Schizosaccharomyces pombe: one gene and its partners. Changing the gene in region 3 together with the main gene of any one other region gives a genetic interaction. Each region holds a gene or a part of one and is shown on either strand. Other genes may lie near its edges. The genes, in order: sut1, pof10, tbf1 and SPOM_SPAC2H10.01.

The links.
Region 1: mutations in tbf1 (region 3) and sut1 together harm fitness less than expected from each alone (positive genetic interaction), as found in Schizosaccharomyces pombe (one large-scale study listed by BioGRID).
Region 2: mutations in tbf1 (region 3) and pof10 together harm fitness more than expected from each alone (negative genetic interaction), as found in Schizosaccharomyces pombe (one large-scale study listed by BioGRID).
Region 4: mutations in tbf1 (region 3) and SPOM_SPAC2H10.01 together harm fitness less than expected from each alone (positive genetic interaction), as found in Schizosaccharomyces pombe (one large-scale study listed by BioGRID).

The regions. Positions count from the first base shown.
Region 1 is NC_003424.3:3,933,596-3,938,677, reverse strand, and holds sut1 (plasma membrane sucrose/maltose:proton symporter Sut1), read right to left. Parts: upstream 3,318-5,082; 5' UTR 3,197-3,317; intron 3,151-3,196; coding exon of another isoform or gene 2,845-3,150; 5' UTR 2,626-2,844; coding exon 2,148-2,625; exon of another isoform or gene 2,082-2,147; coding exon 898-2,081; 3' UTR 529-897; downstream 1-528. Other genes in the region: SPOM_SPAC2F3.07C (uncharacterized protein), read left to right, coding at 2,845-3,150; karyopherin/importin beta family nuclear import signal receptor Kap104, read left to right, coding at 4,610-4,717, 4,840-5,082.
Region 2 is NC_003423.3:2,923,545-2,928,343, forward strand, and holds pof10 (F-box/WD repeat protein Pof10), read left to right. Parts: upstream 1-1,969; 5' UTR 1,970-2,018; coding exon 2,019-2,076; exon of another isoform or gene 2,077-2,130; coding exon 2,131-4,010; 3' UTR 4,011-4,246; downstream 4,247-4,799. Other genes in the region: rio2 (RIO family protein kinase), read left to right, coding at 469-534, 689-1,657; acl1 (ATP citrate synthase subunit 1), read left to right, coding at 4,470-4,629, 4,677-4,750. UniProt on the Schizosaccharomyces pombe protein: Probably recognizes and binds to some phosphorylated proteins and promotes their ubiquitination and degradation.
Region 3 is NC_003423.3:2,371,977-2,377,025, reverse strand, and holds tbf1 (DNA-binding factor Trf1), read right to left. Parts: upstream 3,102-5,049; 5' UTR 2,853-3,101; coding exon 1,395-2,852; 3' UTR 1,287-1,394; coding exon of another isoform or gene 579-1,286; 3' UTR 539-578; downstream 1-538. Other genes in the region: COG complex subunit Cog5, read left to right, coding at 1-416, 466-538, 579-1,286; SPOM_SPBC19G7.18C (uncharacterized protein), read left to right, coding at 4,102-4,249, 4,298-4,368, 4,415-4,954. UniProt on the Schizosaccharomyces pombe protein: Binds the telomeric double-stranded TTACAGG repeat and regulates telomere length.
Region 4 is NC_003424.3:5,271,169-5,276,525, reverse strand, and holds SPOM_SPAC2H10.01 (transcription factor), read right to left. Parts: upstream 3,505-5,357; 5' UTR 2,356-3,504; coding exon 913-2,355; 3' UTR 543-912; downstream 1-542. Other genes in the region: nas2 (26S proteasome regulatory particle assembly protein), read left to right, coding at 1-331; SPOM_SPAC2H10.04 (uncharacterized protein), read right to left, coding at 3,691-4,065.

The DNA of each region.
Region 1 (5,082 bases), on a different chromosome or scaffold from region 3:
AGCGGGAAGATTGCGACAACGCCTTGTCGAGTTGGGTCGTTTGGCTTAGACAAGGAGGACACGGAGTCTTAGCTACCTAACACACTAAGCTGACTTGGCAGGCTATACAAAGTAGGCAGGTAGTTTAGATGCTAATTGCATGTTCATAATGGTATGACCGATTAGATGAAAGAGCACATGGAGAATTACATAACATGTTATTTATTACAGCGGAAGCTTTCAAAAGTTCTTATGCTTACAAACATATTATTATACTGAATTATCATTCTATATGACTGAAAATTCTTTTTATAATTTGGCTCTTTTAGCTTAATTTGAGGCTCTTTCTCCGTTTTAACTCTTTCTTTTTGTAATGAAAACAAGCTTGGCAATGCATTGTTTTTCCCTTTACTGTGATCAACATGGTGTTGTTGCCCTTTTTCTTACGCAAAGCTCGCTTCTTCTTACTGTATACTAATTTAAACTCGGATCAATCGAGAAAGTTCAAACATCTGCTAGTATTACTACTGCCACCATGGTTTTTTTTGTGTCCATTAATAGAGAGATAGTCCAATCAAGTTGATTTTCATTTTTATTACTTTTTATATCCTTTATACACTATAAGTATATCTTTTATATTGGTTCATGCTATACTCTACACAAGTATGAATCTTGTATCAAATGCAAAGAAAAACTTTCCTTTTCCATCTTGACAGTGTATTGTTTGCCCAATCAAACAAATCCTTTTGATAATGCCATTACTCTTCGTTGCCTCTCCATTCTTTTATTCAAATTACACTTTTAGAAAAAACAGCAATTGCTTTCACTCATATTTCGTCAATCGTAAATTATTCATAATATTCATGTTCACATATCATCGAATTGCATATTTTTGCGACATTCATCATCTGAATTCTTTCAAAAGTTGATGGGCAAAAGATGCCGGCATTGGTACGCGGCTAGAAATGCAGATATACCTCCAATTCTCAACACCCATGCTATACTATTGTCGGCGATGTCTCGATGACTGCCCTCCGATTGAATAAATACAATGGTGGCAATGATGGTGCTCAACACTTGGGGGGCAGATATAAATACATTGTGAACACCAATCATTTTGCCACTGCTTTCTCGTAATCCAAGCTTCCCTATTTCTGAAGAAAATAGCGAATATGGAATCCATAGAGTACATGCCCAGGACAGTCCACAGATAGCTACCATTGCCTGCGCTTGCCATGATGTTTGCAAGAATATCGTGCTCAACATACAAACACCAAAAAGGACATGGGAGCTCAACCACAGAATAGGAAGAGTAAGTCCTTTGATTTGTACCTTGGAGGATATCGTTGTCATAATTGATCTACTAGACGGTAAAAGCCTGCGTCGTGAGGGCTCATTTTCCGAACGGAAAGAAGTTGTTTCGCTCAAATTACCAAGACGGGGTGTATTAGTACCAGTTCTTATATTTCCGAGATCGTTTCTTTCTTGAATGTTGTATTCATTATTAGATGCATCACTCGATTCGTCCTCCTCATCATCCTCCGTGTCCTCGAGCAACAATGGAAGTGCTGTATTTGCGGCAAGAGAAATGATAGCAAAAAGCAGTAATGCGAACGACCCTTGACGAGTCGCCATGTCCCAATCTTCTTCATGGCCTTTAGGAGCATGGCGTAAATATAAAATACCCACATAGGTAGTAATATAAAACAAAAATGGAAACCATCCAAAGTATGCAAAAAATTGAACAAAACAAATTCTTTTTAATGTAAATGGAAGTGCGGTAATACTTTGTCGCATAGTTGTAAAAAATTCAAAGATTTCTCCAGCAACCGATTTCTCGTGTTCAACTGGTGGGAATCTCCTTTCACTCACAAATATTGTTGTGATGGTAACTGTGAGTACCAAGGAAATGGAGGCAAGTACGCAAAACACCTGTAACTGTGTGAAATTGAGAAAGGAGAAGATGCGATATAGAGGTAAATAGCCTAGTAAGTACCCAAGCACATTGCCTACACCTATCATTCTTCCAGCCCAGGAATTTGCTTCATGCTGTTGATCTGAACGGACTGAATCAACAATTAAAGATCGAGTGCTAGCCATTACTAGTTATAAAGTTAGTCATTTGTATGAACTACTACTCTGAAAACTAAATCCCTAAATTCACATACCGACATTGACGGCCACGTCAAGCAAATAAATGCTAATCGTAGCCAAAACGATAGTAACACGTTTCATTAGAACCTCATTGCTAAATATAAAGAGGCAAATATCAGGGGCCCAGCCCATAAGGAATAAGCTGAATGTTCCTAACAAACTAGCACAGAGCATGAACGGTCTCCGCCGACCTATTCTTGAATTAACCCGGTCGGACAATATACCAGCAATTGGCTGAATTAATATTCCAGTCAAAGGACCGGCAATCCATATAATTGAAGTCCATTCTTTACGAAGACCAAGTGAGAATAAATACGGTGTACCATAACCAAGTTCAACCGACCAAGTCAATTGAACTCCCAAAAGTGAAACTGTAAGAGCTATTAAGTAGAGGGAAGAGCGAGAAGGGATAGACTCTTTAAAAGGTGATGATGCCTCATTTTCGGAGGATAGAAGTTGTCCATTCTCCAATTGATTTTCATCTACAGACATATTTTAATGAAACTAAGCTTTAAAAGCAAAAGAGAAATGAGAGGAACGTTTGGTGGAACTTCTTTGGTAAGAGATATCTGTTCCTACAACAAAGTTCAGGGGGATTCAATTATGATTGAGAGAAATGATTTTTTAATTTTTCAAAATAATTGATCGCTGTCTAACTTGCAATGAATGTATCTGATCCTTGATAGCATACAACAGGCCACAATGTTTTAAATGTTAGTCAGAGAGAATAATTCAAATGATAGAAGTATAATCGAATATGTGATAAAAATCCTTCTAATTTCGGGGATTTCAAGAATTATTATATTGATTTTAGCAATGTTTGAAAGTATTAGACATATAATTTTTCACAACGATACCAATCCCAGTGATGCTCGAAAGTTTCAAATGGCAATTTGTAGATTAAGTTCGCAGAAAAGCAGAAAACTAAAGAATCCGATTGAAAGTTCAACGACGAGTCACAAAAAGAAAGGATACGTAAGAAAATGTTATGAATGTCTGCAGATACAGGTTAGTTGAACAAAAGCGATTAAAATGAACATAGAACAAAGCATCGTGTACTTACTTTGAAATCGTCAATAAGCAAAAAGCTTCAATTTAAAGCAATAAGCAAGGAATAAGAAATAATAATAAATAATTAAATAATTCCTTACTAATAAAGTACCTTTTAAAAGTATGAATTCTTATGAATCCTTTCAAATTACTACACCTTTTAATATGCTTGGTTTAGAGGAGCGACTCCATCAGCCCAGCTCCGCGTAAATGTCATGTTGACGTTACACTGTGATTCTGCACTATAGGACATTACACCGCGGCACACTGCATTCCTGTATAAGTCAAATGCTTTTTATCTTTTTGAAATATCGTATAAATAGATGCCGTTAAGTCCTAATGATGATTAGTATATTTGAATCTTAATTTAATCATTAAAACTATATAGAATATTATCAAATTTAAACTGCACTCATCAATTTACTAGTAGCTATCGCACTTCCAATATTATTATAAGAATATGTATACATATCAATAAACATCTCCAGGGGCGCATTCTGAATACAGCAATATTCCGGTAAAATGGAGAACTTTTACGGTATTTTATTGCATCCTTGAAAACTAAAGAGCAGTTCGTAGCGAAACGATATATATTTAGCGAAACACAATGTTGCAATCAGTATACTCGTAAGCTATATTAACGTGATTAAGTATATACATAAATATTGTAAAAAAATAAGGAGAACGCAGCCATTCCTTATAACGATGAATAATTCTTCTTATGGTTAATGTACAGAGTTAGACATATTTATGATTGACCTAGATAATTGTCTATGCTACTCAATAGCTTTCTTTGCACGTGTTTATTGGGCCTGAACATAAATTGGAGAAGTTAAAATATTGCCACGTTCGAGCAATAGTAATTTAAACTCAATGGTGTTATCCGCGCATGGCTTGTCGCTCAAATACTTCTCTTGAATAACATGGAGCTTAAATATAATTCTTTTTTAGTATTCAAAACAATATCAATCCGCCCCTAAATTCCTAAATAACATTGCATGGTTTTCCATAGACAGTGCTATTCTCTTCGTCAGCAGGTAACATGCAACCCAATGGACTTTTCGTAAATTTTTTGAAGAAAAATCAACAAATTTAAAGTGATATAGGGGAGCTACGTGCTAAAATTCTTTTTTTTTTATTCTGTAAATTAATTTATTTAATACATGAGATCATTATACTGTGCTGTGAGTGTTGAGATGCGTCTACGGGAAATTTGCAATATGAACTTTTTACTTGGTAGAAAAATCCTGTCAATACATGTTTAAATGTGAAAACAAATACTGGAATCCATTTATTTTTTAACGAATCATAGCATACCACTCTGGTAAATGTAAATCTTGGAATTGCTTGGAATGGTACTACCTGCCTTCCCCACACTCATCAGAGAACTACTACCAACAACTTCTTACAGTAAGTACAGAGTAAGATGGGGGACAATCCTTGGGTTCTCCAGGAACAAGTCCTCGTAGAACTTTCAGAAGTGATAAAGAATTCACTCTCCGAAAACTCTCAGACTAGGAATGCTGCTTTAAATGTAAGATTTTTTTTTTCTAAAATTAAAAGTTTCTTTCTCGTTGTAGAAGATGCTTCTTTTTACTTCACGTGTGTAACGACGTGTGAAGAAGAAATCAAATGGCATAACTAACTTTATTATAGTTGCTTGAGAAAGCAAAGGATATACCAGATCTAAATAATTACCTTACTTGCATTCTCATCAACGCTACGGAGCTTAGTGTTTCAATTAGATCTGCTGCTGGTCTTTTGTTGAAGAACAATGTTCGTGTTTCAAGCTTAGAGTCTGGTTCAGGTTTGCAGAGCCTCGATTACACAAAGTCAACAGTTATTCGCGGTTTGTGTGACCCTGAACAACTCATTCGAGGCATATCTGGTAATGTGATC
Region 2 (4,799 bases), 550 kb from region 3:
CTATTTATTTCTTGTAATTTATTTGGTTGTTTTCAATATTATATCTTTTTGGTCTGTCCACTAGTTATTAAATTGGTGGATTATATACCAGTAGGCCTTTTTTATTCGTTTCGTTACTGTCAGTATTTTAATTTTATGTTATTTATATCAAAGGGAAGGTTTAATGTATATTTTAAGTAATCCTAATTAATAAATTATTGAGAAATGCTTAAATAAGATATTTAAAGACAAAATTGTGTATAGCTCTCATATTTTAAAAAAGTTGGTATTCATTTTTGTGGTTACATAATTTTAAAGCGTGAAGTAAAAAATGTTTCTCAGATGGCAAGTAATACTTTAAGCACACTTAGCCAAAACACCAACCATTTTGACGAGAACCACAATTTAGTGATTGTCGGAATTGAACTTTGATTAGCATTCTTACTTATTTTTTTATTTTTAGCAAGAAAAAAAGTTAAGCTCGTCAAGATGGTAAATTTGAATATAAAAGCAATGAGATATCTTTCTGCCGAGGATTTTCGCACTCTGACAGCTGTAAGCACTTTATTTTATCTTTGGGCAGTCATATAGCTTAAATCGTTTTGATCGTACAATGTTTTGTATTTTCTTACTTATTGACACATACGATATGATGCATTCAATTAATTATATTTTGATTTCAATAAGTATTCGAACTAACAAGTTATAGGTAGAAATGGGAAGCCGTAATCATGAAGTTGTTCCAACGAATATGATTAATCAAATTGCTAAAATACGCGGTGGCTCTTGTACGAAATCATTGTCCGTTTTGTTTATGCATAAATTAATTGCAAAGGTGCCGCATATCAGCTATGAGGGCTATCGACTAACATATGCGGGATATGATTACTTGGCATTGAAGGCCTTGTCAAAGAGAGCATCCGTTTACTCTGTCGGTAATCAAATAGGCGTCGGTAAAGAATCTGATGTCTACGTCGTAGGAGACCAAAAAGGAAAGCAATATATCTTAAAAATCCACAGGCTTGGGCGTATATCTTTCCGGAGTGTAAAAAACAATAGAGATTATTTGAGAAATCGTAAAACTGGATCATGGCAGTATCTGTCTCGATTAGCTGCCACAAAAGAATTTGCTTTTATGAAGATCTTGCATGAGCATGGTTTCCCTGTACCTGCTCCAATTGATCATTCCAGGCATTGTATTATCATGGAAATGATTGATGCGTTTCCTCTTCGTGCTGTTACTGACATTCGTGATCCACCTGCTCTATATCAGACATTAATGGATATTATCGTTCGATTTGCAAGGAATGGGTTAATACATGGTGATTTCAACGAATTTAACATCATTGTTCGTGAAGATGGAACAGCTGTTGTAATTGATTTTCCGCAAATGGTATCTACTAGTCATCCTGATGCGCAATTTTATTTTGATAGAGACGTACAGTGCATTGTGCAATATTTTGAAAAAAACTATCAATACAAAGGTGATGTTCCTAATTTCGAAGACATATCGAAAATGGAAAAGGAAAATAATTTGGATATCATGATTGAGGCTTCAGGATTTAATAAGAAACAATCTAAAGAACTAGAAAAATATAGACAAGAAGAAGAAAAAAGAAAAGAAAATGGTGATGATTTATCTGATAACTATGAAGAAGAAGAAGAAGAGAAGGAATGATGGTTTTAATGAAACCATATTGCACAATTGCATGTTCAGTAAAATCATTTATTCATTTTATTAGGTATTTCTGGTGTTAGGGACTAGCATAGGGTTAATATATTCAGCTTTTTTGGTTACTGTTTTAAATTTTCATTTCAATTTGGATGTAGATAAAAGCATTTTAATTAATCTATCAAAAGATACAAGCAAACATTAATTTTCGAATATAAAATGCTCGTTAATTAATGATTACAGGACGTTTTCTGAGCGATACGTTGGTACACGTAGTAAGTTCCACTTTATATACTAAGGCAAAACGCCAAGACCAATGAAATCGGAACCAACATCTTTGGATTTTACATCCTCAAACCTAAGGAGAATGAATCGGGATCATTCTTCAAATAATACGAATAGAACAGTTTTAAACCTGCCAAAAGGTAAATTCTCACACATTCAATTTTAGTTTTCGAGATTTTGTTAACTTTTTCTAGAAATTTTGATCATTATATTTTCGTTTCTTGATCCTCGCTCTTTACTTTCTGCTCAATGCACTTGCAAATATTGGAAAAAGTTATTATCCGATGATTTAAGTTGGCGTACTGCTTTTTTTCATCACTTTGCGGGTGATCAGTCGCAAATATTTAGTCCACTAGGTAATGGAACATGGCGGCAAGAATATCTTTTACGTTCTACCATTACTAGAGCTTATGAAAAAGGGAAAGGGCAAACAGTTCAGTATGATTGTCGCGTTGGACAATTGACCAACCTTTATTACGACTTTTCTTCAGGAAGGCTTTATTCAGGAAATTGGCTTACTGGAACAATCTCCGTTTCCGACCCTACCACTGGAAAGGTTGAGAGGTCTTTATTACATGCTAGTACTGATGGCAGCTTTACGCATGGATTATCTACAATGACATTGGGGAAACAAATTTTTGGCTTTGGTTTTATGGATGGTCGCGTTGGAGTTATTTTGATGTCACGTCAAGCCGAGACTCCTCGAAAATTTCGTTATTGTCTGGATTCCCATGCTGATTCAGTTACATGCATTGATGCATTAACCGGTGATTTGCCCCCCACTGGGGAAATCGGTATGGTTACTGGATCAGATGATGGATCCGTGCATTGCTGGGATGTTAAAACAGGTGTTAGTCTTCAATCATTTCAATTCCGTTCTTCACAAATCCTTTCTTTGTGTTTCAGGCCGAAATACAAAATGCTACTCGTTGACACTTTTAATTATGAACTTAACTCATATCAATTATACTTAATACCGGGCTATGCTCGCTCCCGAAAGAATGAGCAGCCTATACTTTTATCGTCCAGAAAATGTGTGTTAACTGATGAAGAGGAACCTCCTTGTCTGATGACGGCAGATTGCTGTGCCGGTGTTGCCTTCTTGTCCAGGGGCGCACCGAAAAATTGTATTTGTCGAGTTTCATTTAAAGAATTTTTGGAGAAAAACGATAATGTCGGCGTTCAAACATCTTCAATTCCTCTCAACGGAAAACCAACCTCAATCTCCTTAGATACGAACGATCGTGTGTTGTCAAAATCAACTCCTGGTAGAGGAGCAAGACTGCTCGCTGTTGGTGATGAAAATGGTTTGGTTTATGTTGTAAACACTCGCACTGAAGATCCTAACAAGGCCATTCTTAGAACTATTACTGCATACTCAAATTTTCCTATTACCGATATTTACTTGAATGAAGTTGCAATGGTAGTAGGGTCGGCTAGCGGCTATTGCGGAGTATACGATACCGTTACTGGGAATTTTTTGAAAAAAATAGCGAGTGCCAGGAATGCTGCTAGAAGAGAACCAATTAATTGCATACTGCTTGACTCAAATCCGTTAAGTTTGAAAGGTGTGATCACCATGAGCAAGCATGTCAAATCTTGGTCTTATACAATTCCCAAACCTTTTGTTAATAAAAGGTCCAAGGTTTTACCCTTGAGACCTTCGGTGACACACGATAATCTGTCGAAGTCGTCTGACTACTCAAAAAATGAAGTCGAAAGAGAAATCATGTTAGGTTTGGACCAAATTGCTCAGGAAAGACGAGAAAAAATGGAAGCCCGGCAAAAATTTGAACAGCATTTTGGTGAGGGCTTGGTTGGTTTAAGTGAAGAAGAAATCATAGCATATGTTACCATGCTTTCACAAGAAGAGGAAGCTAAGAGAATGGTTCAGCTCTCCATGGATGTTGATAAAATAGAAGAAGATTTTAAAGAAAACGATGAACAAGCTACATCGTCATTAAATGCTTTAAGTTCAAATCATGAGCCACCGCAAGAACAAGCGAATGTTGCTGAACTGAACGAACAAGAGCAGATTGAACTAGCCATGCGATTATCACTCATGGAAATGTGATACACCTAGTAGTTTACTAAGAGGGAAAAAGTAGAAAAATATACGTTAGTTAAATTTTTGCATCTGCATATAGTCATGTCCTTCATCTATTTATTACATGCTTCATCAATCTTCCGAAGTAAAAAAAGGAGGAGGATTCAAGGGATTTTGGTGGGAATTTTTATAATTCAAAATAGAGGTTACTTTAATTTTGTTAATAAAATCTTTTAGGAATACGTATTTTCTTATATCCTACTATGCTTATTTAAGGATAATATTATTGCTTAATAAAAGCATAAAAAAATATTCTTAAGGCATACGCACCGTTGATCAGTGAATGTATAAAAAGTATCGCTTGATTGCGTTATCTGATTTTCAAAATTTCAATTATCGCAAACATCTCGTTAAATGTAAAAAAGTGTTCAGCAAAACAATGAGCGAACGTTCCTTACCTCCTCCAACACAGTGACAAGAACAACAATGGCGGGATCAGTGGATAAACCTTCTTATGAGCTTTTTTCCAAGGACACCAGAGCCTTTGTGTATGGCATGCAGACAAAGGCTGTTCAAGGAATGCTTGACTTTGATTATATGTGTGGTAGAACTGTTCCATCTGTAGCTGCTATCATATATACGTTCGGTATGTGCTTCGTTGATATAAAAATTTGAATACTAACGCGTGCTTAGGAAGTCAAAGTATCAGCAAGCTTTATTGGGGTACTAAAGAAATTCTGTTGCCTGTTTATCGTACAATTGAAGAAGTAAGTTGTCCGCATAAATATGCTTATTAGTTTGCAAATAAGCGTTTTA
Region 3 (5,049 bases):
GATTTCGATCCAAAGGCGCAGGCTGAACGAGTGTTAATCTCTGTTCATGCTGACTCCGATGTTAACGAAGACAAAGAAGTCGCCAGAAAGAGGTTGGGGTATGCACTCAAAGAAGTAGAGCGGCAAATTACCGATTTGATTGTGCATGAGGAAACCACGTTGACGAAAAATGTATCTAGTTCTTTGAATGCTCAGTCATATTTGCAAGATATCGAGGGAAAACTAGAACAATTGATGTTGGTTTATGAAAGAATTCGTTCGCTGGTAGTCATTCCATCTGAAAATTTGGGTCCCCTTCATGAGGCAATTGTAAATTTGCATTCAACATACATGACTTTGTATTGGCTTGGGGAGTTTTTTGGCATACAAGCAAAGTTATTTCCCCTTTTCCAGGGATCGATTAATGAAAATGAAAAGTATGCTTATTGTTTTGCTCAATGATTTTGGTATGCTAACAAATTCAAGACTTTCACGCTATTATCAAGCATCTTTACTATTACAAGAGTCTGATCAATTATTAAGCCGGTTTCCATTAATGGTATGAAATATATTTTCTGTTTCTTGGCTAATTATTGTAGAAAAGACAATCGTCCGTTTCTTTACTCTTAAAACTTAATATAACCAATCGATCGAGAATTATAAAAGAAACATCCAGCTATCTATTATCACAAGAAGATCAACTTTCTTTCAGTGTGAACTCTAATGGTTTTACAAATGCTTGCTCTGTTTTATATATGTTAGACAAATATTTGTTAGAACAGGACTTAACTCGTCTTTTAAGTTCTCGTATACAGAAGGCCATTATACAATTCGACTCGATTTTCCAACTGTCCCCCACTACACGAAGACTCCTACATAACAGTACAGATCCTTCAGCGGCAAATTCTACTATATGGTCCAAATTTGAAGACGGGTGGTACCAAATTTCAAAGATTGGTGCACAATGCGTCTTTTGGGAAAGGTCACTTCAAAAGGCTAATATTTGTAATCCAGACTACCCAAATTTATTAGAATATTTTCAAATGCAACCAAATTTTATCCTTGATGGTGCAACTATTTGTATCTATTTTTTCAAAGAGCTGGCAATTTCTATCAGCAGCAAAATGCAAATGCTTGATCGCCGTGATCCAATACTCTTGCGGGTATTCCGAAGCGATTTTCAGCGAGTTACGCATATTGTGGAACAAGCTATTGCCAGGTCATCCTCCGAAATTGTAAATAAAGATACACGGGAATGTTCAATTGTAATGAATAGCCTCCGAGTATTAGCACCAAAAAACCCATAGATTAATAATAATTATAATTTATACATAAAATGCCTCACGCTTAATCGTTTTAGTATTTAAAAAAAAATCGCAAACTTAATCAAGAATGAAATAAACTCCTGATACTACTTAATCTCGCCGAAGATCGCCTGTAACACATTGTAATGCTGCGGGGACCACCTGACCACTTTTGAGAAAAAATAGTTTCATATTGCGAGCCTTATCTTTCAACTGAACTTGATTGCGATATTTCAAAACTTCACTCTTTTTGCCTCCAGGACCATAAAGCTCCAAAATTTGGCTCCACCGGGGACCTTTTACTAAATCAAGACCATCAAGCAATGCTTCCTCTTCCTCTTTTGTCCAAGATCGACGATTGGCTACGCGCCTCGTACGCTTGTTATTTAGGTTATTATTTGTCATATGTCGAACCTGATCATAAAGAACGACACTGGATACATTTTGTGTTTCCGAGGAGCCGTCAAAAGTTGAAGATGGTATACCAAATGCGAGACTATCGGTCAGGTCTGAACCAGATTCTGAAGGGGATGATTCGGCTTCGCCAGCCTTAAACCTCAATCCGTTCTTCTTGGATCGTCGTTTGAATGAGTTAGCAGGAATTGGAATGGCCGAAATAGACGAGTAATTGTTATGGATGTAACAAGCAATCTCGCTTAAAAATTTCCCCCATGGATATACTTCATTTAAAGCTTCCTGTGGGGAGAAGTTTGCCAATCTTTCTTTTCTAGCCGTACATTTCTCTATGATTTGCTTTTCAACATAAGTAAGTTTGTCATCCAGCTTAGCATTTCGTCGGATAAGAAATCGATGGGCCATGTCAGAGGGAAAAAGATCGTTTAATATGTCTCCCTTGGGACGTTCTGCCTGAGCCATAGCCGAAATATATGCTTGGGTTTTGAGTTCCATATAAAGAGTGCCCTGATTAGTGAGGATATTAGATTCGTCCGGAGCAAAAACCTCCAGAAAATTTTCATTCAAATGAAAAAATCCAATTTGTAGCGCTCCATAGACAGCTGCCAGAAAGATAGCAAGATTTGCGCGTCTAGTCGTACTTCTTTGACTCGGCGTCCTCATACCAATGGCAGAGGAATAAATAAAAGATTCTTCAGTATAAATGTCCTTTACCATACGAAACATATTCATTACTTTGGTAAAGGCCATACCCATTTCGGAGGCTGGATTAGTGACAATGGCAGATGCCTCTTGTACTGGCTTCCCAAGAATTGACAAAATTATGTTACTAAGGTTACCAAGAGTAGGAATAAGAGATGTACGAAGAAGTTGCTGAGGTGTAGCAATAGGATTAGGTTGGTTGAAAGCGTAATCCATGCCTTGATTCATGCGTAAATAAAAGTCCGGCGTCATATTAAATTGAATTCCGGAAAGATCAAACCCTAAAGGAATTTCTGCATTTGGTGCAACATTTTGAGGCTCGAGTTCAGAATTTTGTTCTGATAATTGTTGTAACATTTGGCGATCTTGTTCGAGGGCAGTTGATTCTGGATCAATCGCTAAGCGTTTTTGACCCTTAAAATCATCACTAGGGTCTAAGGATCGTTTTGACATTTTCTTGGAAATCGTAGTTTTTCAATTGATCAAAGAAAATACAAACTATAGGTGAGAAGCAGTCTGATTAATCGATTGCTAAACAAATCCAAGGAGCAACGATATCCAGTGACTACCGAATAGTAAATCTTGCATCAAAAGTTCCAATTCTTCTTTACTACAAGGTTTTTTAAAATATATCCTTCCAATGCAGGCAAAGTAACAACCAAATGCGAGTTTTCAGGTATTTGTGTGTCAATTGATTAGGACAGCGTATATTTAATTGACTCGTAATAAAAAATCTCTTGCATATTTCACTTCATTGGCGTTCGTTATTTTTATTAACGAATTCCAATAAGCCAGATGTGTTAAATACCATTATATCGTTGTATTTCTTTACTAATTTTATCAACATTTCATTCCTTTGTAGAAGCGATATCTGGACATTATTAACTAATGAATAAGCTGTAACTACTACTAGTAGTTCCTACATATTAGATACAAAATCCGTCTAAATTGGCAAAACTTTTTAAAAAAAAAGACCAAGTCTGTATTGCATCTATTTCTCTATTTCTCAATTGCCTTCTTGTATTTTTCGTTAGCTGTGTAAAATGCAGTGGCGCTTGTTTAATTTACGAGATAGAATTCTGTGCTAAATTAGTTCAAAATGAATAAATACGGTTAATGACAAAGAATTATACGATATAGACTTATTTAACAACTGGGAAATTCCTGTTGAACATATATGCTTGCAATATTAAAATTCAAAACAATCGTATACCACGAATTGATGCCACCAAGGTCTGTTTCATTGAAAGATGGAATGTAAAACGTAGTTCGAAAAAGTTGCATATTTCATCACAAGTGCTTACCAGCCAAAAAAAATTCAGTCTATCAGTTTCATAAGAAATTTCAACAGAACAATCTTGTGTGTCAAATTTTTATTCAGATACGTATTTCTTATTCATGCCAAGTATCACTGTAGTAGCTGGGAAATTTAGATGGTCCTAATCCCTAGAGATTCTCCTTATTCACATCCTCTTACATCAGTATCCAAACTATCCATAAGGCAACAAGTGATGAGTACTATTACCTTTTAGTAGTAGTATTTTTACATTAGAAAGGCCTCAAATTTTTATATATTGGGTTAAATTGTACAGTCCGCAAATAATTTAATTACATTTATTTCGCTAACATAACCCGTATAAGCACGTTTCATATTCTTGACATTATTGTGTAGCCTCAGGAATCGCTTCCAACGTTTATTATCATGGATTTTTTTTGGGAACGAATGTTAAATGATCCTCAAAACCATTTCAGTGATGACCAAAAGGAATTTCTAAATCATGCAAAATACCGTGTCAAAAGAAATACGATTTTTGGGATGCTAGTCGGGTTTTCTCTCCCATTATACTTAGGTATGAGATTTCGAACAAGCAATTGAAAATAACTTTCTTATTTTTTAGCTCGTAACAAAAAGGTTACTCCAATCCGCTTGTATGCAACATCAATTATAGGAGGTCTTGCTGGAAATGGGGTAAGTTTTAAGTAATACTAAGCTCAAGCTTACAAATTATGAATAGGTTGCTCAGATTACTACTCTGGCATACAATTTGTCGGCTATACGTCAAAGAGATGATGGCTTTGAAATACTTCGCAAAATACAAGACTCCCTTATTCGACAAAGAACAACGATGCGACAAGGCAGATTTCCTTCTTCATCTTCTGAATTCCCTCCAAAAAACTCAAAATATCAATTACCTGGAAGTATGCCGAATACTGGTGCCTCTTCTAGTCAAGATCCCTTTACGAATTCACAGAGTACGGAGAAAGAGGACGCCATGTACTCTAAAGACAATGGCTTTGAAGATCGATCAAAGCCAGCGTCAGCATGGGAAGCTATTCGTAACCGTAATCGAAATACCGGTAACAATTCTTTTCCATTTTACGAAGAAGACTCGAGTGTTAAATCCACAGATAGTGCTTTTAGTGGACAAGAAAATTCTGAAGCATTTCCTTCCCGAACTTCTAATCTAGGCTCTGAACAGTTGGATGAACCTATTTCTCACGAACAGGAGGCATTTGATCAATTGATCTGGAATGATTCATCGTCTTCCAAATAATTTCCTTTATCTCTACATGTTACGATAATTTAAAATTAATTTTTACCAATTTGAGTGTCACTGAATTTATGATGTAAAGTAGTTAAATTTAGTAG
Region 4 (5,357 bases), on a different chromosome or scaffold from region 3:
TAACTTTAATGCTGCTAACTACAACATGAATGATATTATATCTAGATCCAAAATCCTAGGACGTGTAAAGCCATTCTGTGTTGTAGATTCTGTTGCAGTCGAAAGTCCGGCTCAAGAAGCTGGTCTCTGTATTGGTGATGAGTTAGTTCATGTTCAAAATGTTACTTCCTTATCAGAACTTCCTACTTTCATATCTAATAATGTCAATAAAACGCTGGATGTTCTTTTAATCCGTGGTTACTCAGCAGATGGATCGACTAACTTGGTAGAATTAAAATTGACCCCACATAAATGGCAAGGCCCTGGGCTTCTAGGTTGTCATTTGCGCTGAATGATAGCCCGCTTTGCCTCGCCAAAATGCATAAATAAAAGACAGAGGATTTATTGTATTTATGATTATTACAAGTATTATTAATGATATAAAACCCATGCACATAATACTCAATTCCTTAATATGCATGAATAAAATTATGAACGAGTCAACTCTAATGAAAAGTCAAAAAGTCTACAAGTTTGACACATACATGTATACTTATGCTACGTTCGATGGTTAAGTAAATGATACACTGTATTAATAGGGGAAAGTCATAATTAATTTAACAAAAATGAAACCTCGTTATAAACAAAACCTGGAAAAAATCAAAATGAACAAAAAGGGGGAAATGAAAAGGTGCCGAGCAAATTAGTCATACAACCATTTTTAGTCGTTGTGTATTACCGGGATACGCAAAAGCTGGCTTTGGAATGGGAAAAAAGACGGGTTTAAAACATTATTCTTCTCAATTAAAGAATGATAATGCCGGATTTTGAAGAGAAATGAAAGGTAAAATGCTTATTCTCAAAAAACAACGAAGTTAGAGAAATAAACGTTTCCCGGTTACAACCAACAAAAAAGCCATGTCAAAATTTGACTTAATATGCAGTTTGAATTGGATGATCCTCATCGAAATCACGAATAAAGAAAAACATATCATCCAGAGATGTATTTGAAGAGAAAACAGCAGGATTACAAGTCTTCATTGTAGCTAAAGGCTGAACTTTGTCAACATATTGATCTGGCCATAAGCTAGCGTCATCACTTAAATAACGAGAAGGCTCGTCGAATGAAATGTAATCAGAGCTATTAAAAGATTGGGGAGGTAGAGGACCGAGTTTGCCAGAGGATTGTTTGGCATTCAAACTGTCATTTGCGAAAGATTGCTGTCCAAGCAATTGGCTTCCACTTCCTTGGTCAATCTCCAAAGTAAGAGGATCTACTGCTCCAATCGGGTCATTAGCCAGATTGAAGCTACGAAGGACTTCGTCTGCGTCAAGAGAAGGTGAATCAACAGCAGAAGAATCCGTCAGATACGAGGAATAATCCAAATCAGATCCACCATTGGAATGAACGCTGTTGGTATCAACGGCAGCACCAGTGCTATTGCTACCAGGAGTAGATTTTGGGGAAACGGATGCACCAAATGAAGCTGAACTTGAAAGAGTCATTTCAGAAAGCATGGGTAAATGTTCAAGAGACTTACTTGACATTTGAGAGACCGAATCTGTTTGAAATCTAACGCTATCCTCAACGTTGGAATATGACATGCTACCTAATACATTGCTGCCAACAAAACCATTATTGCCGACTTTAGCAGCAGGTAACAAGGAGCTCTCAGGATAGTTAGAAGTGTTGGAATCGGCAAAGTTGCTAAGAGAAACACTCCTAGGGACAGATGAACTCAAAGAAGAGGATGTCAAAGTTTCCTTGGAAGGGAAACTAGCAGGGGAAAACCGATCTAACGGTTGAGAAGATGGAGATACATATAATGAAGATTGCATTGGAGATTGAGACCAAGTAGATGAGGCAAATTCAGAAGATCCCATGGAGAATGAGGATCTTGATGAACTCTCAGAAACAGCAACTGGGCGATAAGGAGTTTTGAAAGGACCAGACCCAGAAGCATATCCAGGAATGGAATCAAGGGAAGATGTGTGAGATGGAGAGCTACCATTAGAATTCACAGGAAGGTAGTGAGGATTATAAGAGCAATCATCGCAATGGTTGGTAGCCGATATTAAGGTACCGTCGGATGCATAAGGGAAATGTGAAGAGGTCATAGGAGATAATGAAGGTGTTGAGGCATAAGAGGGAAGGACGTTGGTCTTTCCATTCGTTGAAGGACAGTGTAAAGGGGCAGACTTTTTACGGCAAGCACGCCACGAGGTGGTTGAAAAGTGACAATCGGCGTGAGCCTTTTGACAAGCTAAACAAGGTTGTCCAGGAATGTCACTACCAGTACAACGGATTTTTCTGCGTCTACATCTATCGCAGGCAACGGCAGTTCGCCGACGTGGACCGGTATTTTTTTGAGTCATGTTAACAGTTTAAAGGAAATCCCTACAGAAAGAAAGGGGAATTAGAGTTGGAAAAAAAAGTAAATGCAATTAGTGAAGTAAGACAGAAGAACCAGCTCTTATATAACAGGCAACGGGCTTGGAGGGGACTTTAGAAGACCACGGCCGAGATAACAATAAATAAATAATAATAAAAATTAGCGGAAAGGAAATAAAACGATATAAGAAAGCGAGGTTAAAAGTATGAAATATAGATAGCCTAGCTTCTATAACATAAACAAGTACAAATATTTGTAAAAACTTTGGTAAACAAAGAAAAAAAATCAGAAGAGGAAATATAAGCAGAAAAAAAACGATAGAGAAAGACTAAGGTTTTTTAAAAACTTGAGAAATGTAATAAATAAGCAGGGAAAACCGATTTCAAGAAATTCAGATGTTACGACAAAACACGAGTGAATCCTATTTGACTTGGAGGGAAACAAATCAAGGGAAGGATTGACTCGGCGACGTAAAAAGAACTTTACTTCAACAGATAGTAGCAATTGTGGAAGAAAATTCAAGACTTAGCAATGAGCGAGAAAGTGAGCACAAAGCAAGTCTGTAATGGAGAAAAAGTGAGGAATACGACAAAGTTCAATGAATAGAATTTTGTAAGAAATACTCCAAGTTGTTGATTGCTATTCAAAGAAAAGAATCAACAGAAGCTCGTAAGAAACAAAACCGGCGAATTAAAATTCGGAATTGAATTGAGCAGAGATATACTGTAATTATTTTTAGCAGTTAGCAAAAATAAAAAAACAGTACCAATTCGATGGCTAGAAGAAAGCAAAGCACAATAGACCTTGAAAATGAATCAAGGAACAAGGAATTTTTTTTGGGGGAAAAAGAAGTTTAAGAAAGAGTAGGTGAAATGTTGGCAACACCTATGTATATGAAACTCGACCTACAATGAAAGGCGAACAGAATGAAGATAGAAAAAATGATCAACAAAGAAGAAAAGAAGAATGGATAGATGGAAAGTGTATCCAATGGTCAAAACCAATCGATGGTGAAGACAAGTAAAAGAACAAGAACAAGTATTTTCGTACTTAGATTTGATAAACAAATCACCTTTGCAAAAGGATAATTCAATGCTTCAAAGAAAGAGACTTTGTTTGGAAAAAAAGTTGTAAAAGACCAGCAGGCAGCTACAGATATATATAACGAAAAAGCAGCATTGCCCAAACGAACAATCGAGATCTGAGTTGCAACTGCCCCCAAATGCCGAGGGGTCCAGTTCAATTGTTCAGGGACAATTAATGATGTCAATTAAAGAAAAAGCAAGATCGACATGTTGCGGCAGAATCGAAATACTTGTTACTCAAAAATACCGGTAATTTGAGGTAACAAGAAGCGAGGGGTAAACAAAAGATGAGATTGGAAGGGCAATGCACACTGCCGAAGGGGGCACCATTGAAGAAGTAGAGTTGGCTGCAGGCGAAAGTGGAGGGCAAGGCAAGGCATGGTAAGGTAAGGTATGGTATGGTAGGGTATTGTGTTGTATAATACTGGATAGGATAGTATGGTATGATATGGAATTGTTAAGACCAATAAACTAAAGAAGAATGGGTAAACGTAGGGAGAGGAGAGCAGAGTGAAGAAGGAAAAGAAAAATTTATGAAAAAGGAAATTCTCTGTTGAATTGAGTAGCTTTACTGTAACTGTAAGAAAAAGCATGTACAAGAATGGCATGGGGTAGAGGAATGGTGAGTAGTAGTGCAAGTTAATAGCTAAACTGATGGTTTTTAGCCGGTCGGTTGTGGAGTATGGATGGCATTAGGGGTCGACGAGTTTGTTTTGGTTTTGGCGGTGCGGAAAACAAAGGTAGCGCATAACTAGGTTGAAAAAAGGGAAAGGAAAAGTGAATTAAAGTAAAGCAAGATGAGGCAATCGATGATACAAGACAATTGTAAAGTAAGGAGATAGGTAAATAGGATTGGCGTGGTAGAGCGCGGGAAGGCAAAAAAGGAAAGCAGCGACAAGCTCAGAGAACTATTAGAAACCTTGGTAGGAGGTTTGAGCGCTACGTAAGTAAATAGAAGGGTTCAGCTTAACCTTTGCAATCGGAATAAAGGCATGTAGGCCAAATTAATCATTGGGTGGACGGCATTTGAACAAAATCAAAGGTTGTATAAGCGAAGTTCGCTAGTGTCAACTATGATGAGACAACGGCAGTTGAAAAAGTGGGGAATGGCAGTGAAACGTGGGGTGGCACTAAAAAAGATGGAGGAATCGGCAAAGAAGGCAAGCTAAGGTGACCTTTCGGTGGTGGGGCAAATAGTGCAGTGCAAGGAGAGTATTGAGGATTTCGGCAGTTGGGGGAGGAATAAAATTGGCCATATACAGGAAAAAAAAAAAATTTGCCAGCAAATGGGTGAGAGTTGGATTAAGATGATAGAGATTGGAAGATTTGCTATAGAGCATGCAGGCGAGTTTGAGACAAATAATCGAGTATAGTTTGATAAATGCCGAAAGCATGGAGTATTGTGATATGAAGGTGTTGAACAGGTAAATAAAAAAGGAGAGATACCGAAAAAGGGCAAGGAAATATCTCAATCAAGGCAAAAAAGAAGAAAAGAAAAATAGATAAAATAAAATAAAATAAATGAAAAGTAATTGTAAATAAACATTGAAAAAGAGGGACAAACTAGAATAAGGAAGAAAGTGGAGAAGAAGGGGCTGAAATTAAAAAAAAAAAAAAAAAAAAAAAAAAAAAAAAAGGAGCGAATATTTTTTTTTGTCAAGACAGAGAGAATGTGTGATGATGGACAAACAACATACGAAAAATTGAACGATATGAACAATGTTGCAATAAAGAAAGTTTCAGAAATATAAAAATAAAATAGATTAAAAAGAATAAAATAAATAAACAAAAAAATAATTTAATAAATTGGATGTTTAAGAGAAAAAAAAAGATGGAAGAAAGAGCAGGGAAATATTTAATCATCGTATGTGTTCTTACTAGGAAAGTCAACAAACCAAGG